2 linked regions of the Macaca fascicularis genome follow. The protein of the gene in region 2 purifies or fractionates together with the protein of the main gene of each other region. This does not show direct contact. Links are inferred from orthologs where the notes say so. Each region holds a gene or a part of one and is shown on either strand. Other genes may lie near its edges.

What was found. The genes of interacting proteins can lie anywhere in the genome.
Region 1: the proteins of STRAP (region 2) and TGFBR1 purify together in Homo sapiens (affinity purification with western blotting; 3 studies listed by BioGRID and IntAct, with this or other methods). This does not show direct contact. The link is inferred for Macaca fascicularis from reciprocal best matches to the Homo sapiens genes STRAP and TGFBR1.

Annotation. Positions count from the first base shown.
Region 1 is NC_088389.1:58,978,286-58,981,937, forward strand, and holds part of TGFBR1 (TGF-beta receptor type-1), read right to left. Parts: intron 3,054-3,652; coding exon 2,929-3,053; intron 1,886-2,928; coding exon 1,755-1,885; intron 361-1,754; coding exon 235-360; 3' UTR 1-234. UniProt on the Homo sapiens protein: Transmembrane serine/threonine kinase forming with the TGF-beta type II serine/threonine kinase receptor, TGFBR2, the non-promiscuous receptor for the TGF-beta cytokines TGFB1, TGFB2 and TGFB3.
Region 2 is NC_088385.1:18,704,619-18,708,270, reverse strand, and holds part of STRAP (serine-threonine kinase receptor-associated protein), read right to left. Parts: intron 2,513-3,652; coding exon 2,431-2,512; intron 1,852-2,430; coding exon 1,779-1,851; intron 1-1,778. UniProt on the Homo sapiens protein: The SMN complex catalyzes the assembly of small nuclear ribonucleoproteins (snRNPs), the building blocks of the spliceosome, and thereby plays an important role in the splicing of cellular pre-mRNAs.

The sequences.
Region 1 (3,652 bases), on a different chromosome or scaffold from region 2:
ACATTTTGTAACTGTCCTGGGAAAGAAGCGTTCATAGTGCACAGAAAGGACCCACACGGCTGTTTCCTGGGTCCGAAGAAATCCTGGGAAGTTTTTAATTGACTTTATTACACTGCTGCAAAAGGAAGCAACATCCTTCTGTTCCCTCTCAGTGAGGTAGAACAATTGACCTCCCAAATTAAAACCCAGGAGCAGATCTGAAGAAAAAAGTAGAGTTCAGGCAAAGTCGTAGAATTACATTTTGATGCCTTCCTGTTGACTGAGTTGTGATAATGTTTTCTTAATCCGCAATGCTGTAAGCCTAGCTGCTCCGTTGGCATACCAACATTCTCTCATAATTTTAGCCATTACTCTCAAGGCCTACAAGAAAATATAATTAAAAAAAAAAAAATTAATGCATGCACCATTTTCCATTGGTCTGGATAAGAATTTTTACCTGTAAATTTTCTTTTTAAATGACATATACACTTTGTTGTTGTTGTTAAGCATTGTTTGTAATAGCAAATGAGTAGAAATTTCACAAATTTCCATCAATAGGGTACTGGTGTCAGTGCTGGAAAGCAGGTAGACAAAGAGTAACTCACTCAGCAAACCTGAAGAGGTCGAATCCTAAACCAGAGCTGGGCAAAGCAAAGAAGAAATCTGACCTCACACTGAAATTTTAAGTTTGTACTTTGAAGTATCCAGATCAAATTTTTCTTTTTTTTTTTTTGACACAGGGTCTCACTCTGCGGCCCAAAGTGGAATGCAATGGCATGCCCTCAGCTCACTACAGCCTCGACCTCCCAGGCTCCAACAATCCTCCCACCTCAGCCTCCGGAGTAGATCAAATTTCTAAAAGACAAAATCTAGCAGCACTCTCATTTGTTAAAGTATGTCACATGCAAATTCCTTGAGCATGCTGAAATACATTTTATTTGGGCCTGTAGATGTGATTTTGTTGGAGGTAGCAAGCTCTCTTGGTTATCAGAGGTTCTGATGAGTCCTATAATAGTTTAAGATGTAAAACCAACTACTGAACTGAACAGCTTTTTATAGCCTTTTTAAGCTACAAACCTTCAAACCCGGAGGAATATGCCCTGCTTCACCAATATTATAATAGTAACAGCTAGCAACTAAGGAGAGGTTAAATAAAATTCATCTTACGAATCTTTAAATTTACAATTACAAAAACATTTCTAAAACTTTTTGTTAGAGCTGAGGTTGAGAAGCTCAGACACTGCTGGAAAAAAAGCATTTTCCCTAAATTCCTGGTTAATGGTCATCTGGGCAATCAGATGAATAAAATGGAAAATCACTTGAAACAACTTTGTAATCACCTTATCTGAGTTCCTCACCTTACAAAGGGATATTAAGGTTCAGAGAACTAAAGTGATTTGTTCCAAGTCAGACCCTTGAAATGGTAGTCAGGCTGGTCTAGAATATAGGTCTCCTCATTCCTGTCCAGCAACTGTCTATTATTCTGGGTTGCCCTGGCTGAAGGGAGGCATTCACTTAAAAAGTATGTGCTTTAGTTCGCCTGACAGACCTAAACTATGTTCTGATATACTAAAGGCCACTGCAAATGTTCCACGGCCCTTTCAATGTGCTTACAATTGAATATGAAAACCAAATTATTCTGTTTTTACACATTGGTTTGACTGCTATGAAAAAGAAACTTCTTAAAGAAAAGTTTTCCTTAAAGAAAAGCAGCAAACTTTTGCTTACTAAGCAGAAGTTTAGAAAATTGCCTAATATCAAAAAGAAATACTCACTTCGCAGCTCTGCCATCTGTTTGGGATATTTGGCCTTAACTTCTGTTCACAAACAACTTTTCTCATTTCTTCCACTGATGGGTCAGAAGGTACAAGATCATAATAAGGCAGCTGGTAATCTTCATGAATTCCTGTATCAGTTTAAAAAAAAATAATTTTGATAAATGTATTCAGCGAATGCCAAGGCATTAAAAAGATCACCTGAGAGGCCTATTACAGTGTCTTATTACTAAAGTAGGTAGGTGGAACAGAGATTACAGCTTTCTCTATCTCATCCAAATCTGTATCAACAAGTCACTTCCCTGAGTTGATATTCTGCCCACACCTTGAAACTATTGCCAAGAGATCAATAAAGCCTATTTGAAATGACAGTAAACTGTGAGCTGTGACCACCAGACTGACATTTTCCCCTAGAACCCTATTGTGCAGCAAATGAGATTCTATTCTGTAAGTGCACAGGCTCTCACTTGTACAGGGATATATAGATCCTATCAGTGAGACACAAATCCTATGAGGCAAGTTTAAGGTGCAAGTCCCTTTCTCTACTTGCATCTGTCAATAATATATCCTATTTACTACAATACAGAGAAATACTCTGTCCCTCACTGCTTCAAACTAATAAGGCACTAAGGTCTCAGCCAAGCCTAGGTCCCCAAGCCTAAGAGACTGTTTCCTGAGTAAACATTATAAGTACTCCATCTAAAACGCTAGAAGTTAAGACAAACTAACTCTAGAAAACAACACAATGGTAACATAATTGTATTCTGTGTACGTAATCTATAACTATCAAGTTGGAGAAAATAACCACAATGCCAAAGAAAAAAAATAAATTTGACACCTAGGTACATGCTAGAAACAGCTTCCTAGGTGAGCCTCTCAAGCAGCTGTCCATTCTAAAGAACTATATTCCAGTATAACAAGGGTTTGGGTTCTGATGAGTCTCAAGATTCAAATGGAAACAGGAAGAGAATACACTAGGCTAGAGCTGTGCATGTGCACACCATGGCACTGTCCCCTCCCAAAGGTTTCATCGCCTTTGTTTTCTCTGGCACTCGGTGATGTCCTGTTTCAGATAATGGATTGTGCATAATTTCATTCAATAAAAAAAGAAGACAATTCTCGAACAACTTCTTCTGCTCATGACAAACTGTTGGGGGAGAGGGGAGCAATTTACCACCAATGGAACATCGTCGAGCAATTTCCCAGAATACTAAGCCCATTGCATAGATGTCAGCACGTTTGAAGGATTCAAAATGTTTCATATTTATGGAATCATCAAGAACTTCAGGGGCCATGTACCTAAAAAAAATTTGCAAAAATAACTTTGAAAATCATCCCCTTACTGCCACATTTTGATGAACATCCTTTCAGACATTTCTCTGTACACAGACATATGCACAAAATATTACATAACAAATATTAGACTCAAGAAAAATATTAAATATCCACACTGGTTTGCACATTAATGATGTCAACTAAATCCCACAAAACGCTAAAATAGCAGTTTCACGCTATCTGCCTCATGATCTTGGTTTCCAGTGAAAGACATATGCAACTATTGTGACTGTTAAAGGTGTCCCAATGTACACCACCTATACATGTACTAGGTAGAAACCATGCATTTTAATCTAGAAGTCTTCTCACTGAGGATGAAAGGAAGGGCAGGAATATACTCTAAGGGAAAAAATAATAGACACAGAAGAATGCCAGTCCTCATACTGAAGCTTCAAAAACCTATGAAAATTATGGGTCAAGACCCACAGAGACCTGCAGCAACCACTGTCAAGGACTCCTTAGCTGGCTGAGAGTGCAGAGTCCCCAGGGAATCCAGAAATCTCAAAATTATACATAAAATTTGAATAGACTAATGCTGCTGGCTCTCCAGCTCTCTCCAAGGC
Region 2 (3,652 bases):
TATATATATGGTGAGGGCAATGATTAAAATATTATAAAATAAAGTATGTAGAGTGGGGATGACACCTATAACTTCTGTAAAATGAGAGAATGCATAAAGGATTTCACCACCAAAATGTTAAAAAGTACACACCATAAAACCGCCTTAACAAAATTTAAAAGCGAATGATAAATTGGAATTCAATAAAGAATCTTTAAAAACCAGTAAGAAAAACATGAACACAACAGATAAATGGGCCACGGGTAGACAGGCAATTATTTCATAAAAAAGGAAATACGTTAAAATGGTATTCAACAGCATTTTAATCTCATGAATTTTCGCATTAATACAACAGAATTATTTTCTTAAATTGACAAAGATAAAGTTAATTATCAGTGTTCACTAGAACATGTTGGGTATAGATACATATATATACCTATACTTTGTTGGAAGACATTTTGGTACTATCTATCAGTGGCTTCCAACAATTCATTTTTTTTTTTCTTTTTGAGAAGGAGTTTCGCTGTTGTCCCCCAGGCTGGAATGCAATGGCACAATCTTGGCTCACTGCAACCACTACCTCCCAGGTTCAAGCGATTCTCCTACCTCACCCTCCTGAGTACCTGGGAATTACAGGCGCCTACTACCATGCCCATGCCCAGCTAATTTTTTGTACTTTTAGTAGAGATGGGGTTTCACCGTGTTGGCCAGGCTGGTATCAAACTCCTGACCTCAGGTGATCCGCTCACCTTGGCCTCCCAAAGTGCTGGGATTACAGGTGTGAGCCACTGCACCCGGCCACCTTCCAGCAATTCTACTTCTCTTTGTCCCACCAATTCTACTTTGCTTAGTTATCTTAAGGAAATCATTATGAAAATATCTGCAACTACAAGGATGTTTAGCATAATACTGCTTTTAACATTTAAAATTTGTAGATAGCCCAAACAGGCCAAAACAGGAAACTAGTTAATTCACTTATGATATATCCACAGGATGGAAAACCAGAAAGTCATTACAAAGAGTTCACAGACTATTTAGTGACATGAAAAAACTGTAATTGCAGATTTTTAAAAATTCTTTCAAATAGCTAATATATTTACATGGTTCAAAAATGTAAGCAATATGTGCACACAACTGAGAATTCCCACCATCACCACCTTCTATAAATAACCACTCTTTCTTACCAAAAAATAGTAACACTGTTCTACAGTGTTTTAAAACTTAATATAATGATAAAATTTTTTGCCATAATAAATTTTCAATTTGGGAGGTTATACAATAGCAACGTGGCAGATAAACTGTTTTTTTTTTTTTTAAACTGCAGGATAAAAAAGACTGAAAGTTTATAAACCAAAAACGGGTGAATTATGTTTTAATTTTCTTCTTTGTGACTAATTTTTTTTTTTTTGAGACGGCATTTCACTCTTGTTGCCCAGGCTGGAGTGCAGTGGCGTGATCTTGGCTCATTGCAACCTCTACCTCCCGGGTTCAAGCAATTCTCCTGCCTCAGCCTCCTGAGTAGCTGGGATTACAAGCGCCCACCACCACACCTGGCTAATTTTTGTATTTTTAGTAGAGACGGGGTTTTGACAAATTGGCCAGGCTGGTCTCAAACTCCTGAACTCAAGTGATCCACCTGCCTCAGCCTCCCAAAGTGCTGGGATTACAGGCGTGTGCCACCGTGCCCGGTCATGACTATCTTTATTTTCCAAATTTGAGTACTGAGCATGAAATCCTTTAATCAGTTATTTAAATTTAAAAAAAGTAAAACTACAAGCTGATGTTTAAATTATGCTTACCGGCTTCGGGTTTGTTCAAGTCATATATGCGTAACAGTTTATCCTGTCCCCCGGTTAACAAATAATTACTATCCTGAAAACACAAAATGTGAATAGGTTAACCATTTTAATAGTTATTTCTCTTTCAAACTTCAACACCAAATAAAATCAAAATCTAGCTCACAGACATCACAAAGAGATGCAAGACATAACCAATTACTTCTGAGAAGATACTGTGGAACAGCTGCCCTCTCATAACTACCAAGCCTTGTGAGCTTTCCAGTGGGCAAAAGCGTTACATTACGCTACATATACATGAACTCTCCCATTCTCCCCTGATCCTACTCCTCTCCCTTGTGAGAGGCCCTTTTCTGATTATCTGAAATTTATCTTCTCACTTCTATTAGTAGGTGAGAAAGGTTACTTGAGCTTTTCAGATGTTTTTTGCTTGTTGAAGGACTGGTACTTGTTCCACGGTATCTTAAAAGCTTGACAGGATTAACCATGAAACAAATTCATAGAGCTTAATATACAATCAAATTAAATATGAACCAAGACATAACAAATATTCCACACAAAATATATCAAATATACACACCAATCAAATATAAAAGCATTGTCACACTATATAATAGCAACTTAACTTGCTAAAATAAATTCAATTTTCTGATACCTGCGTGAAATCCACAGTCTTGACAATGTGTTTATGAGCCAGGGTCATCAATTCATCTCCTGAGACAGCATCCCACACTTTGCTAAAAGTAAAAAAGGAAAAATTAGTACGATAAATATTACCCAATAAATTAAAAGGATAAATACAATTATAATATTGATGAGTACCAAATAAGTTAGATATGTGAAATGTTACATAAATGTATTATAAATCTCCTTTATCTCTAATATGCCTCACAGACTTCATTTGATAAAATATTTAAATAAGCTTAAAGGAAAAGAAATTTCTTTGTAAAAACTTTATAACCAATCTAATTTTCTTTGACAGTGGAAAAGATATGAACAATTTAAGAAAGATTCATGAACCAACCCATCCTACTTACTTTTATTTTAGTTGATAGCCATAATATCCCTTTAGCAAGACAGTCACACATTTTAACCAATTTTTAGTTTCACCATGCTAATTTTTTCTCTATTCTCCACTCAGATGCACAACAACAATAACAAAAAAAAAAAAACAGAAATCCTTAAAAATTTTACAGGGGAATGAAAAGCCTTAAATACAGGTTAAATAAAATTTTAAATTAAGATAGTGGAGAGACAATGTCCACTTCATCTCTTCTTCAAAGCTGACTTAAATTTTCAAACTCTAGTACAGTTAACTTCCCCCAACTATCAGCCTTTGATTATATAATGCTAACATTGAGAATTTTAATCTTTACATTGTTTTTCCTGTACTACCCCACCCCAAAATACAAGTTGGTTGTAGGTATACATACATATATATGTGTGTATATTCCAAGCGGGTAATAGTTGAACAATACAAAATTACTCTAAAAGGGTTCCCCGAAATAAAAAAGCTTAAGGAAGGGGGGAAAAAAGTTGATTTTAGATCAGAACAGGTCAGTGAAAAATAAACAAGAAAATTTTGCAGACAGGGAAAAGAATTGCTAAGAGTGAAGAAGCTATGTCCATAGAGATTTCCATTTTAATGCAACTGATACTTATTTTCGGGAACACAGTGGGCAATGAAATGGTAGAGGGAAAAAAATCAGAGAAAAGCGAGATATATCTTTTCTTTTGTTTATCCAATAAATACATAATATTTTAAATATATATCATTCTATACTTAGTGCTAAGGCACAAATGGGAGACAAAAAATACCCCACAGTAGGTTCTTGCCCTAGTAGAGCTTTAGCTGAGGAGAAAAACATGCATTAAAT